Linked DNA regions of Drosophila melanogaster. Each later gene encodes a partner of the first gene's protein in a complex. Each region holds a gene or a part of one and is shown in the gene's direction. Other genes may lie near its edges.

What was found.
Region 2: CycT (region 1) and lilli share a complex: the UniProt entries of both Drosophila melanogaster proteins name them as parts of the super elongation complex.

What each region holds. Positions count from the first base shown.
Region 1 is NT_037436.4:17,549,984-17,561,056, reverse strand, and holds CycT (cyclin T), read left to right. Parts: upstream 1-3,268; 5' UTR 3,269-3,984; coding exon 3,985-4,561; intron 4,562-4,637; coding exon 4,638-4,683; exon of another isoform or gene 4,684-4,914; intron 4,915-5,225; exon of another isoform or gene 5,226-5,526; coding exon 5,527-6,122; intron 6,123-6,178; coding exon 6,179-8,253; 3' UTR 8,254-10,053; downstream 10,054-11,073. Other genes in the region: CG7542 (uncharacterized protein), read right to left, coding at 10,408-11,073. UniProt on the Drosophila melanogaster protein: Regulatory subunit of the cyclin-dependent kinase pair (CDK9/cyclin T) complex, also called positive transcription elongation factor B (P-TEFb), which is proposed to facilitate the transition from abortive to production elongation by phosphorylating the CTD (carboxy-terminal domain) of the large subunit of RNA polymerase II (RNAP II).
Region 2 is NT_033779.5:2,884,162-2,890,540, forward strand, and holds the start of lilli (lilliputian), read left to right. Parts: upstream 1-1,767; 5' UTR 1,768-2,417; intron 2,418-4,122; exon of another isoform or gene 4,123-4,437; intron 4,438-5,512; 5' UTR 5,513-6,379. Other genes in the region: NTPase, read right to left, coding at 832-861. UniProt on the Drosophila melanogaster protein: Has a role in transcriptional regulation. Acts in parallel with the Ras/MAPK and the PI3K/PKB pathways in the control of cell identity and cellular growth.

The sequences.
Region 1 (11,073 bases):
TGGGTCTATGTATGAACATATGTATACGGAGATCTGAACGATCTGCACGGGTGTCTGTGCTTGGGCTAATTGTTTTTGTTGCTTATTTTATAAACGAAGAGAGATGGAAATTTATTATTTCATAGTTTTAGCTATTTGTACGACTACGTTTAGGATATTTATTTAAGTGTTTCTCCAGCTAATCCCCCGAAACTTTCCCCAAAACAACAAAAACACACACATCCTAACTGGAGCTAAGAACCCAGCAAACTGGTGGTCTAAACTTTCTTGTAATTATTATTTGATAAGTTTTGTATATTTACAACATCAACAGCAGAAAAGCTCACAGGATAAACCCGAAGAAGGCACTTCTTGAGCCCTCGTTTAAGCAGTCTTAGAACACCAAACCAAACTCAAGTCTCTCGATCTGAAGTTTATTTATAAAGCATAAAGTTAAACTACCGTATTCTTGTTAACGTCACACTGCCACAAATCGAAACAAGCCTTACATAATGGAACAGATCTGGACATTTAATCGAACCAAACCGAGATACTGACCCATAGTTTCAACAATACTGCAACCGCAATCCTCAATGCAATATACCGACAACTTCTACAACAATTTCCAAACACTGCCCAAAACGTGCAATCTCTTGAAAGGATACCTTGAATAGGAAAGAGAATAAAACCAACTCCTAGTTCTTTAATCTAATTCTTTAATAGTTGCGTTCTCTAAGTACCTTTATCTATTATTATTATTATTATGTGTACGTGAAGATGAAATCTACAATATATCATTTTGTTTATGATGATTGGTGATTGATGATGCAAATAAACAAAGTGAGTCTTGAGTTCAACTCTGTTCATTGTAAACAATTTTTTATGATTATTTTTTATTTTTTAAATAAAATTATTATTTCAATTTGTGCATGCGTTTTATTTACACATTCGCAAACCAAACACACCAAAAAAAAAACAAACCAATATAAAAACCGAATGAAATATAGAACGTAAGCAAAGATATGATACAAATATATGGAACCCGCTACAAATTTGGAATCTAGATATACCTCCCATGAAAAGTACATAATGTTGCATAAGTTACAATATATTCAAAGTCTATATAGGATAGTCGAGATTCGGATTGACGATATTTGAAGTCGAGATCACATATTTTAGATAAAGTCCAGTCGGTGTATTTTGTAGTTCTAAGACACCATTTCACGAGGTCTCAGTTTATGAGGTTTCCCCCAGATCATGGATTTATATGTATGTCTATTTATTGGCGTAGATCACCGCATCTACCATTATTACCTAGCGTAAATCAGTTATTAGTTGTTAGGGAATGAATATTTAAATGTTATAAGACCTTAGATATAAGCACACCCACAACAAGAGCAGCATCGAACCAGATATGCAAAAATCACGAGTCGAGTACAACGAAATCGGTAAACAAGAATCTGAGCCACAACCCGGATAATGCAGCTTTAAATCGAGATAGTACATTTAAATTTCAATCTCCTATTTCCCAGAGAGCTCTCCTTTCACTTCGATAGCCTAAATCAGTTGGAGACTCCAACCCGAAAGCATTTATACATGCTAAGCACGATAATTGTACATATACAACTTCTGGACCTCATGACTCCACTCGATTATAAACGTATTTTATATGTATACACCAATTATTTGTTAGATTGGATAACCCCGAATGGCTGGATAAGACCAACTAAATTATATGCAATAGAATATCGATGCCGTTGGGCAAGATTTCTATGCTAGGCTAAGGCTAAGACAAGATATCTTTCTATTGGTAACTCAAAAACGAAACGAACTATATAGCTTTTAAATGGAAACGTGCGATTATTCAAAGGTATTCTATGCCGCCTGAGAATAGTAGAGATATGGATTGGCCTAGATTTAGACGAATATGTTGAATGCATTAACATTAGATACGATTAGTTTTTGACTTACTAACCTAAGTTAAGTTTTTAGACTGTTTATTTCACTTTTTGTTCAATCTTTGTACATTTGACAGACACATTTTAAAAATGTCTGCGATGAGAAATCAGCTAAAGCCAGCCACAATATATATAATATATATATATATACTTTAATGCTTATGTAGTAAGGAAACGAACGTTGGATCGAAGTCATGGTATGTAGGTGAATTTTATGGTTAGAGGCAAGCGCAAGCGAACGGATTAGATTAATTTTTATAAGAATGCATTAAGAAAAACGAAGCAAGTAACAGTCACAAGCTAGCATAATTATTTACTGTTATGACGACATAAGAGTTTTAAGGTTTTTAGCTAAATTTTGTATATTTTAATCTACAAACTATAAATATATATTATCTGTTTTATAAATAACAATAAAAAATTCATATGTGTTTTTATGACAGATTTCAAATGGGTAGAGCATCGCTCTCAAAATGTATAGCCATTTTGAGCTGTACAGGAATTCGGAATGTCTTTTTTACTACTAGTATTATTTCTTATGATTCGGTCGGTTATGGCTTATACGCATAGACCAATAACTCTACATATCCCCACCCACAGAAAGAAGTCACAAAATCTGGGAGGCCAATTACAGGTCCAAAACGTTAGATTAGTCGGTCACCATTAAATCGATTGTGGCACGAGCTGTGTGACATATTGCGTCCTCTTTTTGGAACCACAGGTCCTGGACATCATGGTTGTTCGATTCAGGAATGAAAATGTTGGTAACAATAGCCCTATACCGATCGTCATTTACTGTAACGTACTGGCCATCGTCGGCTTTGAAGAAGTACGGACCAATGATTCCACCAGCCCATAAAGTTTTTCTGGATGTAACGGTGTTTGAGGATTGGCTTCAACCGAAGTGCTGGTTGTCCGACTAGGTATATAAACATATACATAACAACATTTGGATATTTTGATAAAAAAAAGTCATGCGATTAAATGAAGGTGCTCAAAGTACATATATAATATGTCCATATACATATAATAAGATATATTTAAGATGGGACTGTTCAAACATATTAAGTACAAATTCGATTCCCCCGGAATATACGTTATTTTTTAATTGAATAAGAAGGGAAAAAATGTTGACATTGTGATATTTCTACATGTGTTAGCGAAATGTAAAGTTTAAGGTAAGTTACTTAAAAATGTATTTACATTTATTTGAATATCTACCTTACGATTATTAATCGATAACATAAACAGTAGAATCAATGTTGCCATATTTTAAAAATAATATCGATAATGCGAAATAAACATCGGTTTGGAAAGCCTTATCGATCTGGCAGCCCTGCCGACGGCCATACTTGAAAATACATTTTTTTCTGCAAAGTTTGTCATTGTCACTGTGTGAATGGAATCTGTGATGTGTTGTGGAATTAAAAACGTCGAGTAAACGACCCGTAATGGTTAAAGTGCCCGGCGAAAGCAGTGCGAATAACTATGAATTGATACGAAAGTTGCATAACACGTCGCCTGGTGTCGCGGTTAGTGTGTTTTTCGTCTCGTTTCGTTTCCGCCGCAGTCGCAGTTTCCAGAAAACCTCACCACACCATACCATCTCCACCACGCACACACACACACAAACAAACACGCAGAGACGCGGCGGCGGAAAAAGTGTGCGGACCGCGGATTTAACCCCTCGTTCCAAACCCAAATTGGAGTCTCCCAAAAACAGCGAAATATCGAGTGTGGCTTAGCCGATGTGCCGTGCGATCCCCACTGCCCCTTCCGTACCGCTGCCACCCCCGCCACAGCAGCAACGCACACGGATACGGACACAGACACCAATACCAGCGCACTCAAGCACGGCCGACAAAGAAAGAGCGCTCTCCCTTCCTCTTCGTACAGTTAGTTCCTACAGCTGAATCAGCCAAAAGGGAATTACTAGGTCCATTCCGAGGCGCAGTTTGCATGTGAAACGGAGGTCCCCGCATAACCACGCGGAACCCGAAATCCCAGATCCCCATCTCCGCTGCACGGATAAAGGAAACATACAACCATGAGTCTCCTAGCCACGCCAATGCCCCAGGCGGCCACCGCCTCATCTTCTTCATCCGCCTCCGCGGCCGCCTCGGCCAGCGGGATTCCAATCACCGCCAACAACAACCTGCCTTTCGAGAAGGACAAGATCTGGTACTTCAGCAACGATCAGCTGGCCAATTCGCCAAGCAGAAGATGCGGCATCAAGGGCGACGATGAGCTGCAGTACCGCCAGATGACCGCCTATCTGATACAGGAAATGGGTCAGCGTCTGCAGGTGTCCCAACTGTGCATCAACACGGCCATTGTGTACATGCATCGGTTCTACGCCTTTCACTCCTTCACCCACTTTCATCGCAACTCCATGGCGTCGGCGAGCCTCTTCTTGGCCGCCAAGGTAGAAGAGCAACCGCGGAAGCTGGAGCATGTTATTCGGGCCGCCAACAAGTGCCTGCCGCCGACCACCGAGCAGAATTACGCCGAACTCGCCCAGGAGCTTGTGTTCAACGAGAACGTGCTCCTGCAGACGCTGGGCTTCGATGTGGCCATCGATCATCCGCACACGCATGTGGTGCGCACCTGCCAGCTGGTCAAAGGTATGCACCCACCATCCGACCCAAGCCATGTCCCCTTCACATGTCAGATGGTACTGATTACTGTGGTATATTTTAGCATGCAAGGATCTGGCGCAGACATCGTACTTCTTGGCCTCGAACAGGTATGGCTAGCAATGCGCTACTCTATGGTGTAATCCCTCCTAGAGATCGCCCCCAACGCAAATACGGCTGTGGTATAAGCAATGTGTGTGTGTGTGCGGGTGTGGTGTTGGCCCAATCCTCCCCAGAAAGTGGTCAGGCTGTAGAGAGTTCGATCCCTGACTTTTTGTGGCTAAAATCTTTGGGCAGTTCTTTTACCTGCTTAATTCCTCGCTTATAGCTAACAAACCCAGGTATGTGAGTCGAAACAAAAAAAAAAAGTGACGACCCCAAGTCACAAATCGAACAAGAACACGCGGTCCCTAATCGCAGCAGGACGTCTGTACAAATATCGCATCTTAGCAAAAAGGCAGTATTTTCCGTGTCCCTCGCGGTAATTATCCTCAGTTGCCTGCAATAACATTGTAATTTGTGTCGGAAAATCCGCCAAATGTCAAGAATAAGACTAATTCCTAGAAAGAGTCGTTAATTCCTAGAAAAAGATATTTGAAGAATTGTAATGATAACCATTGTAATCCTTTGGCATACTAAAACATCTGGAAAAAAGATAAATTCAGTTTGGCATACCTGCCTACCTAAAACATAGTCAAAATTCTGATTACATGAGGAGAGCTCATTGGGAAAATTTGCGCATTTCGAAATATCGGCAAACGTTTTAGAATAATTCTTTTAAGTTTAAGATCCCCAAGAAATAAAAGAGACTCGCTAAGAACATGCTAAGAACTAAAGACGTAATCTGTATTATAAGTGATGAAATCCCCCTGCACACACTCACCGAACTACATTTATATGTGATATTCTTGCAAAAGATTTCCCACTAAATTGACTTAACCATCCTGGCACAGCCTGCATCTGACCTCGATGTGCCTCCAATATCGCCCCACGGTCGTAGCCTGTTTCTGCATTTACCTAGCCTGCAAGTGGTCCCGATGGGAGATCCCCCAGTCGACCGAGGGCAAACACTGGTTCTACTATGTGGACAAGACGGTCTCGCTGGATTTGCTAAAGCAGCTGACAGATGAGTTCATCGCTATCTATGAGAAGAGCCCGGCCCGTCTGAAGTCTAAGCTTAACTCGATCAAGGCGATCGCCCAGGGAGCCAGCAATCGGACAGCTAACAGCAAGGACAAACCAAAGGAGGACTGGAAGATCACCGAGATGATGAAGGGCTACCACTCAAACATCACGACACCACCAGAGCTGTTAAACGGCAACGACAGCCGGGATCGGGACCGAGATCGTGAACGGGAGAGAGAGCGGGAACGGGATCCGTCGTCACTACTGCCGCCACCGGCTATGGTGCCGCAGCAAAGACGACAGGATGGTGGCCATCAGCGCTCGTCCTCAGTGAGCGGAGTGCCAGGCAGCAGCTCTTCGTCGTCTTCCTCCAGTCACAAGATGCCAAATTACCCTGGTGGCATGCCGCCCGACGCTCATACGGGTAAGTATTTCAACAACTGCAAAAAGAATCACATTTTTAACATCTTCGTATTGAAGATCACAAGTCAAAGCAGCCGGGCTATAACAATCGAATGCCCTCAAGTCACCAGCGTAGTAGTAGCAGTGGACTCGGTTCCTCGGGAAGTGGCAGCCAGCGCAGCAGCTCATCCTCGTCGTCTTCAAGCCAGCAGCCTGGCCGACCGTCTATGCCCGTGGACTATCACAAATCCTCTCGCGGCATGCCGCCGGTAGGCGTGGGCATGCCACCTCACGGCAGCCACAAGATGACTTCGGGCTCCAAGCCCCAGCAGCCGCAGCAGCAGCCGGTCCCACATCCATCCGCCTCTAATTCCTCTGCATCGGGCATGTCCTCCAAGGATAAATCCCAGAGCAACAAAATGTATCCGAACGCACCGCCGCCATACAGTAATAGTGCCCCTCAAAACCCGCTGATGTCGCGTGGTGGATATCCAGGCGCTAGCAATGGATCCCAGCCCCCGCCTCCCGCCGGATACGGCGGCCATCGCAGCAAATCCGGCTCCACCGTCCATGGCATGCCGCCTTTCGAGCAGCAATTGCCCTATTCCCAGAGCCAGAGCTACGGCCACATGCAGCAGCAGCCAGTGCCTCAGTCTCAGCAGCAACAGATGCCTCCGGAGGCATCCCAGCACTCGTTGCAGTCCAAGAACTCGCTCTTCAGTCCAGAGTGGCCAGACATTAAAAAGGAGCCCATGTCGCAGTCGCAACCACAGCCTTTTAACGGTTTGCTACCCCCTCCTGCGCCTCCCGGCCACGATTACAAGCTAAATAGCCATCCGCGCGACAAAGAAAGTCCCAAGAAAGAGCGACTAACGCCAACCAAAAAGGATAAGCACCGTCCTGTCATGCCCCCAGTGGGCAGTGGGAACAGTTCCTCCGGCTCGGGATCATCAAAGCCGATGCTACCGCCTCACAAGAAGCAGATACCCCATGGCGGGGACCTGTTGACCAATCCTGGAGAGAGTGGAAGCCTAAAACGGCCCAACGAGATCTCGGGAAGTCAGTATGGACTAAATAAGCTGGATGAAATAGATAACAGTAATATGCCTCGAGAAAAGCTTCGCAAGCTGGACACTACAACTGGACTACCAACTTATCCGAATTATGAGGAGAAACACACGCCTCTGAATATGTCCAACGGAATCGAGACAACGCCGGATCTGGTGCGCAGTTTGCTAAAGGAGAGTCTGTGTCCATCGAACGCTTCGCTCCTGAAACCGGATGCCTTGACTATGCCTGGCCTGAAACCACCGGCCGAACTGCTTGAGCCCATGCCCGCACCAGCGACAATCAAGAAAGAACAGGGAATAACTCCGATGACCAGTTTGGCTAGTGGGCCCGCACCCATGGATTTGGAAGTACCCACTAAACAGGCCGGAGAGATTAAGGAGGAAAGCAGCAGCAAGTCCGAAAAGAAAAAGAAGAAGGATAAACACAAACACAAGGAGAAGGACAAGTCCAAGGACAAGACGGAAAAGGAGGAGCGTAAGAAGCACAAGAAGGACAAGCAGAAGGATCGTAGCGGCAGCGGTGGCAGCAAGGACAGTTCTCTTCCCAATGAGCCTCTGAAGATGGTTATCAAGAATCCCAACGGCAGCCTGCAGGCCGGTGCGTCAGCTCCCATTAAACTTAAGATCAGCAAAAATAAGGTTGAACCCAATAACTACTCTGCAGCGGCGGGTCTGCCTGGCGCAATCGGATATGGCTTGCCTCCAACTACGGCTACCACCACATCCGCTTCGATCGGAGCAGCTGCTCCTGTTCTGCCTCCTTATGGTGCCGGCGGTGGTGGCTACAGCTCATCGGGCGGCAGCAGTTCCGGTGGCAGCAGCAAGAAAAAGCACAGCGATCGTGACCGCGACAAGGAGAGCAAAAAGAATAAGAGCCAAGACTACGCGAAGTACAATGGCGCTGGTGGCGGCATCTTTAATCCCCTTGGCGGTGCTGGCGCCGCACCCAATATGTCTGGAGGAATGGGCGCCCCCATGTCTACTGCTGTACCACCATCCATGCTGTTGGCGCCCACCGGTGCAGTACCACCCTCTGCCGCTGGGCTGGCACCGCCTCCCATGCCCGTCTACAACAAGAAGTAGTGGTAGCGGTCAGAGGGTTATTCTTAAGTCGTACGTTTTGATATATGTATAGAACCTCAGTAAGTCCGATTGTAGTATAGTTGTTAGGATTGTTAGTGAGATGCATTATTGATTTTAGTTAAGCACATAGATAAAACTCCAAATTGGAAGTGAAACCGGATGCGCAGATCGAAGAAGAGTGGAAGTAGATGTCGCGATGGGGCTGGACGTAAAAGCAGTACTCAAATCGCGAAAACTTTTGTACAGCATTAATTAATTTATAACTATAATAAATAGCATACATATAAGCCCACATACATAAAAATACGGAATAGTTTTAAGCGAATTGTTGGCAAACGGAATCAGAGACCCAAGCAGAAAATTCACAGAGAGCAGCAATGGCCGTCTAGCGTTTAAGTTAGCAAATCAAATACCCGTTTCACACACTCTAACCTGTATATAGCCACTCTCACAAACACACAATCAAGAGATATATAGTACAGACTTCCGCTTAGCAAATATACTAAATACGGCCCCAACTAAATGCAAGCCAGAGAGATAGAAAGAGTAAGAACTTCAAAATAATCCCCACAGAGGAGCATATAGTTGTGGCAGAGGATAGGAGAGTAAATGGAAAGCCAGCGCTTTGATTCAAAATTGAAGACGCCAAACCACATAATGAATTATTTAATTAATACATAGTTGCTAATCCGAAAATGAATGAAGATGTTTATTTTTAGTTAGCAAAGTTTTCCCTTCCTTTCTGAACGATTGCCCGATTACTAACCGTGTTTCAATATAGTTTTCGACACCTAGCAATATATACAGTAGTGTATTTACACTTTTCAATGAAGATAAGTAAAAAGATCGGATTGTTTCAGCGGATGATATTATGTTTCAAGATCGCCTGGAACGTTGACGTAGCTTTCATTTGTTTTAATTTATTTTTTAAATAGCATTACAAAACAAATTACCACAACAAAAAAAAAACCAAAACAAAAACAAATAATAAAGTCCCAAAACAAAAACGGAATATGCAAACAAAAAAGAAACCCAAAACTAAATTTTGGATAAAACAAAAGTTGTTGTGCAAGAAAACAAAAAGTTTTAAAATTATGTAAATGCAAGCGAAAACGTTGCAAGCAAACTAAGCTAAACGAACGAAAAACTAACAGAAGGCTAAACGAGGAGAAACAAAAGTTAGGCATATAGAAATCTAGGCATGATCTATATATTCGAGGCGAAAATGAGAATGAAATGAAATTTTATGTAATTTTCGACTAAGGCAAAGGTTAAGCGAACGTTGCGCGTTTTTCAAAACTATTCGTACTCGTATATTCGTATTCGATTTCTCTACTACTGCATTAAGCTGCAAGCATATATAGCTCTAAACACACCACACATCCATTCACACACCATCCATCCCATGCAGTCGAGAAACGTATTCTTTAAGTTGGGAACCCGAGAAACCCGTTTTTATAATCGATCGAAAGAATGCGCAATTTGCGTCTAAGATTTGGATTTCCCTTTATATACTTATTCTTGGCCCCTTTTACCACACTCCCCGCCCACGCCCATCCCCACCCCTCGCCCCTCCTAACTTAAGTTTTTGTACATACTTGGAAAGCAAATGGAAAACCCGCCGCTCGGGTGGCGGGCAAGTGTCGGGTTTCATTGGGATTGTTTGGTTGTGCGTTCGAATATGAATTCACTCGTCACTTGCACGCCCCCACGAGGGCACAAATAAAAATCTTCAAAACCCCGCAAAATTCTAAACAAAAAACTATAAAAATGCAAAAAATAAACAACAAAAAAATCAGGAAAATTAAATGATATGTGTTTTTCTTGCGGTGCTTGGGGGAACTTCTTGTTCAACTTTCTGAGCGAAACTTCAGATTCTTGAAAACGGTCCAAATATTAATTAATTTTGTACTTAAAATTTTAACTAAATTTATTCTAAATATCTCATTTGTTTCGTTAGCAAATAACTCTTAAATAATTTAAATAAATATCTTAACTAAAATAGGATTCTAATTTGGAAGAGAGAATTTGTAATTTAGATGCATTTTAATGGAGTCATAATGTACTTTACCGCTCTTTAGAGTGTTTTAATTATCCAGTTTATTTAAATCATTGCAAGTAGATCTTTCTTAGGAAGAACAGTTTAGTCTTAGCTTATTCTTTATTATGGGCGATGATATGGTTAAGGATCCAGTCCAAGTAGCTGCTGATGCGGGTGAACACGGCCGGGAATCCCACTTGACATCCCATAGAGGTTCCAAAAGAGGTGGATCCGATCAGGTAGCTGGAGTTGCCCTGCTTGTAGACCAGCGGACCGCCAGAGTCACCATGGCAGGTGGACTTGCCGCTGGTGGTGCTCATGCAGATCATCTTCTCCGACACAGCTCCACTCCAGTACATCCGGCACAGGGAGTGAGGCATAATGGGCATCTCCACGTATCTCAGCACGGGGGAAACCGAGTCGGAGGCATCGCTTTCCCGCCCCCAGCCGGAGGCGAAGGCCCGGATGGACTCGTACGTGGGAAACTGGCCATTCAAGCGACGGGGCAAACTGGCGGCCCGGATGCGATCAGTGAAACCCACAAAGGCGGGCAATCGAATAAGCGAGATGTCGTTGACCACCGTGCTGGCCATATAGTTCGAGTGCACTATAATACCCGACTTCTCCACCATGATCCTTTCTTGACCCTCCTCGGACTCATCACCGATGTTTATGGCCCCCAAATAGACCGTTACGGACTCCGCCCCATCCATGCAGTGTGCTGCTGTGATTATCCAGTAGTGTGAGATCAAGGTGCCGCCGCACCAAGTGCTCCAGTT
Region 2 (6,379 bases), on another chromosome or scaffold:
GTTGAAAGATACAAACATTGAAAGCTGGTAGAAGTGTGCTATCTAGAAAATGCTGATAAGTTTAGACACAGATGTTGTGAAAACAACAAATATCGAGTTAGATACAAAAGTATCTAGTATATATTGTAGTACCGAGTACACGTAGGTACACGAGGGTTAAGGCCACGTTAGCAGCCAGGCACTATCTGCACTCACTTGCAACCGGTTCCGGTTTGCCCGCATCCTGTTCTCCACCCACTTGCGATGCAAATCAGTCGAAACTATGCGATCCAATCGCCCCCGAAATGGGACACTCTATGTGTACCTGTGATCTTTGGGTTCCGATGCGAGAAAGCGATTGCAAAAGTTGTCTAGCGAGATTCGGTCGAAACGGCTGCCAACTGAATCGTTGGACTTTTCTATGCTTTTTTTTTATCAGCCCCCCCTAATGACCTTGCAAATGAGAAAGTTCCTGCTGACTGGTCACCCTAATGCGAATACGAAAATATTTCAAAATAAACCGGCCGGCATTAAGATGTTGATAGAAAACCCACTAGTCATCTCTTTCGTAACTAAAATCAAAATTTGCATAATTGTTAACAAAAGCGTGCTTAGCGGCCATTGCGTATCTATATTTAAATGTCTTGTAAACATACATTTTCAGATACAAATTGGCACAATCGAATAGAATAGAACTTGAAACGATTATTCTGCGAGTCATTTGATGTTTTACTTCCGCGTCAAAAGAGCAGCAATTTGAGGAATTCGCATGTGTGCGTGTGTGTGTGAGAGAGCGCCATGAAATTGGCATTAAATTTGTGCTGTGGATTGCCCTTTTGACCTTTTCCTTACTTTTCTCTTTCGCACATCGGTGTTCGTCATTCTGTCGTCGTTACTTTTCACTTAAATTATGTAAATACGCGAGCGTTTGTTTATTTCGGATCGATTGCTGCCGATCGCCGAGCGGAACGCACTAATGTCGATCTAATCTAATGATGGCCGCGCCCGCCGAATGATAAACTCTGATCAGGAAGCCAACGCGCACGGAATGGCGTCTTGGAATCAACTAAAAACATTTATTTACCACCTGCTCATTTATATGCTGCAGCCCTATCAGCTGTTCGCTGCGGCGCCCACTATCAGCGCATACGGCCACACTGCGGGGGCGGCAGGGATGCCAAAAATTGATGTGGATAACATAGAAATATTTAAAATTGTGAAATTATTCGATTTTGATAAGTATACTTCTTAACGGAATTCTGATAACAGGTGCAGAAATCCAGTGCATAGTACTATAATTGACATATATTAGAGGATTCGTTGTGCCTTAATCCGCTATTTAAATCAATAAGGATTTATCATAGATTCATTCGTAGATTCTTATCATTATTTTGTACCGACAAATAAGATAATTGGATTCAATAGATATTCATTCAAGCTAAGTGTAGATTAGATTATATAGGTATATCATATTTCCCATTAAGATACTTGCCCATTCCAAAATTGGGTTTTCTGGATTAGACATTGAGATAAGAAACCAGTGTTGAAAACCAACACTGAAAACTGCTTATGAATTTTCAAAAACGCTCGGATAAACACATTGCTAGATAAAACTCAGATCGTTAGACAAACCGGTTCCAAAAATCATTCATTAAGTAAGAGAAAATCGAAATTTTTAGCAAATATGCGGTACCGACATTTTCCAGAACTGGACCTATCGTCGCACAGCTGATCGCCCGCCAATCAGCTGGGCGATAGTTGCCGTATCGATAGCCGACCCATCGATAACGATATGTGTATTTTCCTGCTCTCTCTGCACCAACACAAAACACGCAACTAAATTTCGGTTAAAAACCCCTACTAAAAACAATGCAATCGAAACGGAACCATATAAAGTGATTAAATGGCCAACGCGGCGGAGGCGAAATGCGAGCGCAGTGCATTTTCCGGATGAAATCGCGTTTTCGGGGAAACTTACACAAACATTTTTTTCGTAAGCGCTCTCATGTTGTCTCTTTCGCACAGCAGAATTACTAGTTGCTGTGTGTGTGCGTGCGTGCGTTTGTGTGTGCCGTATGCCGTGTGCCAGTGTGTGCGTGCGTGTGAGTGTGAGTGTGAGTGACTTTGACTGCAGTTCGCGTACGTTTTTTATTAATACACCACATAACAACAATCACAACAACAACAAACAGTAATGGAAACTAAACATATTTAATGCGAGGAGACCAGAAATCGTCTAAAACGGCAAGGCTTTATCACCATCGCCACCACCACCAACAGCACAGCAACAACAACAAATTACTACAGCATATATGCTAGTGTGCGTAAACGTATTTGTGTTAAATAATGTTTAAACTGGCATTTCTGATTTCGCACACAAAACAATATTAAGTTGTAGTCACCAGCAGAGAGGAGCAATTGAAGCAAACGAAAAAGAGGTAAGTGCAAAAAGCAGACAATTGTTATAAACAAAATGTGTCAAAAGTTCGTCATGTCGTCGCGCGCTCTCTCTCTCTTTTTTGCTCGTTCTCCCTCTCTCTCTCCGCTCTGTCCTTCTCTCTCCCGCCACGCCGAAAAGAAATTAATTTTGATATTTTTTCCCTGCTTTTTTGTTGCACTCTCTCGCTCTCGCAAACTTTTAATTTTAATTTGCTATGCGCAGCGAATTCGCGCGCAAAGGCAACAAAAAAAGAGGCAATGCAAAGGCAGCAGCAACAACAATACAGGCAAAGTAATAAACGTCAAAATGCCAGACGGACAATTCCTCTCTCATGCGCTCTTTCCGTCGCTGTGTGCGTGCGTGTGTGTGTGTGTGTTTGGGTTTGCTAGCTTTTTGTTTTTATCAATTATTTAGGTAGGTGTTTGCCTTAAAAAGAATAACTGAAACGCAGAAAAATACCAATACTTGTATACTCCAAGTAAAAAAGGGTGAAAGGACACTATCGGCTCAACAAGGAGAATGCAAATGCTATAAGTAGGAGGGGGAGAGAGAGTCACACGCACACACACCTCAAGCAATTCTGATAAGAACAATTGTTATTTGTTTGAAAGCCGACATTCCAATAGTCCACGTCCATTCGCCCAAACGTTGAAAATAATCGACAAACTTAAATACTATTGTGTTTGTTCGCGAACCCAGAGATGCTTTGCCAACTGATGAAATAAATATGGCCAATGCCGTCAGAATAAAGCGAAAATACCATTGTGGTTGGAATTCTCTTAATGTTAACATTGATTACTCCATTTTCTACTTTCTAAACAATGTATTGTATTCAATATTTATATTGATAATATCGAAATAGATAATTGCAGTATTTAATTGTTTTTGTACTTCGAATTAGAAATATGACTTTAATCACGTACGCAACAACCCATGCTTTCTTCCTAAGAAATGACAAAATAATAGTCTCCACGAAATAGGAGAACTCCATACTCAAAATATAAGCTTCAGAAGTTTATAGCCTAAAGCATTTTCCTAAACAAACAGCTTTATAGAAGAGTCTTCAATGAAAAAATAATTTACCTCTCGTGTTATTTATTGAACTCCTCTTTTAAAAGATAGGAGGTCAAGCATTTTAAATGTTTTGGTTAAATGATCTATATAATTGTACAATGTAATGTTTGCTATAACATCTCTAGTCTCACTTTCTTTTGCTTTTGTTATTAATATGAAATGTCGAAGTCATTAAAATTGATTCATGGAGTCAAATTACCAAACAATAGGCATTTACCAACGAGGATGCGAGAAGAAGAAATCGCCGAGGAGAGCATTTTTTCTTTTGTTATTTGCACGGTTTCGAATTCAAATTCCAATCAGCATTCTTCTTTTTCCTCTCTCTCAGGAAACTCATTCACGACTCAGTTTTCGTTACAATTTGATTAAATATTTAACTATAATTTGCATAATCAATTAACAACAAAGTTAAAGAGGATCTTTGGCACTGTTATGTCTACATTGCGTTAGCATTAATGTTAACTGCTGCTCGCACTAACAGTCGACAAAATGTTTGAGATAGCGGTTCGATGGCGTTTGACGGCTCTCTCAGTACGAGTTCGAGTTGCATGCGGTTGAAGGCGAGCGAATCGTCGAATAATAACGGTAAAGATGTAGTACTTTTTGGATTTCGCAGCCGGTCGAACACGAAAATCGGCGCCGTCGTCGCGCCGTGTAAAAAATGTGAGCGAAAATAGCAAAATAAATTTGTAAAAAATATAGAAAATACAAATCGCGCCGCCCAACCGAATATCTGCAATCGAATTTCAATGAAAGTGCTTGCCATCTGAAATATATTCATTTCAAAGAAGTGTGTGTGTGTGCAATCCATGTTTTTTCTGTGTGCAAAGTTCAAAGGCAAAAGCAAAAAGAAAAGGCAATAGCAAGTAGCTAAGGCAAAGGCAAAAGCAAAATCAAATCTAAATCTAAATCAATGTAATCTAAATCAAATGTTATTCGAAAACGTAAGTTCAAAGAAGTGAAGAGTGTAAATTCTTAAACGAAACGAAGCACATGTGCCACCGTCCCCCTTTCCAACCCATCCCTCCCATCGCTTTGTCTCGCTCGCTAGCTCGGAGGCAAAATTTCCAATGCATATCAAATGGAAATCAACAGATCAAATACAAATACAAAAACAACTACAGCAACTTTGTTTTTGCAAACATCGAGAACAACAACAAACAGCTCGAAAACGGAACAGAAGAGACTTCAAGCAGAAGAGAGCGCAAAAAAAGTGAAATGCGCATTTTTTATTGTCAATTTTTCAAACGGCACACTTGGACCTGGACCGTGTGATTTTCTTGCTCTCTCACTCGCTCTCGATCGCACTCACTCACTCTGTCGCTCTCTTTGCTTTGCTAACGGAACTGCCGTCTTCTTCTTCACCTTCTTATTCGTTGTTGTTGTTAGGCAAAAGCAACGCCAAAATGGAAAGGAAAATTTTTGTTGTTGTGGTGCGTTGCCCTTTGCTTGTGCGCTCTTCGAATAAAATCAACAACAACAACAACTAATGAATGAATGAATGTGGTAGCCGAAGTAGCAACTTCACAAACAGCAACGGAGCGGAGCAGATACATTGCGATAATTTTCTCGCTCATCTGGCGTCTTTATGACATTATATACGCTACATTTTGATTTTATATTTAACACCTGCTGTTCTTCCATCAACATTTGTATGTGCATATGAGATAAGTGCATCAGAATGTGTACGTGAGTGTGTGTGTGCTGCAATTGCGATCAACAGCTGTTGCAGGGAGAGCAAAAGAGAGGGAAAGAGAAGAGTGAATATCTGTGCGGATGTATGTGTGTGTCCTTGCTTTTGGTTTTCTTTTGTGGCATTTTGTTGTTGCAGCTGGAAGAATGTTTCCCGAAAAGGGGGTTTTCGGAAGATTCCAATCTGCCATCGAAACCAAATCTAAAATTAACTTTCTAGGTTATATAAATCAATTAACAAAACAACATGGCGAACCGATTGACACATTTTAAAAGTTATAGTTATAGTTCTCAATATAGTTTAAAGAATCACTTTCATATTTACAGCCAACGTTATCATTAAAATTCGCCTCAAATACAAGCAATAATACATAATATGAATAAAACCCGAGAGAAAAAAGTTCAACATCTAGTAAAGAAAGCAAACAAAGTTTAAAAACATTTGCATTAACGAAATCGTAGCCATTAGCTTTAACAAAGTCGCGTAAAAATTTTGAGCAGAACTTAGCAAGCCTATAAAGTACGCCTTCCAATAGTTATTATATATACACGCATTATATACATATGCATATACACAGCCATAGCACTTACATACATACATATATACATATACAACATCGGCCGAAGGGAATTATAGAATGAGAAACCCACACGGGAAGTGAATAAACGATATGGAATCGTGGAAAAAGTGCGTTATATGCTAACGGTGCAATCAAATCTTAATGTAGCCAAGCGATACTAACATATATAGCACATAATATATAGATATATATTTCTTACATCCATCAAGTAAATCAACAATTTTTACAATCCGCAAACTTAAGCTGCTTCAAAATCAACCAACGCAATTACTTTAAGAGATTTACTTTATCGGTAAATGGACAAGCATAAAGAAAACATACGAATATTAGAGAAAAACCAAAACAAAAACTAAAAATCAAGTGCAAATTGCAACAAGTTATTCTAAATATTTAAATGAGAATTATACGAAATTTCCAAAATTTAACTTAAATTATCCTATTATTCATAGGTCTAAGTAATGAATAATAGATTTTATATATGCGCCCCAAGTGCTTAATTAACAACAACATCAACAACTACAGCAACAACACCACACAACCAAATCAAGATTAAAAATAAAAACTATGCAAAACAACAACAACCTCAACAAACAGCGAATCGAGCAATATTATC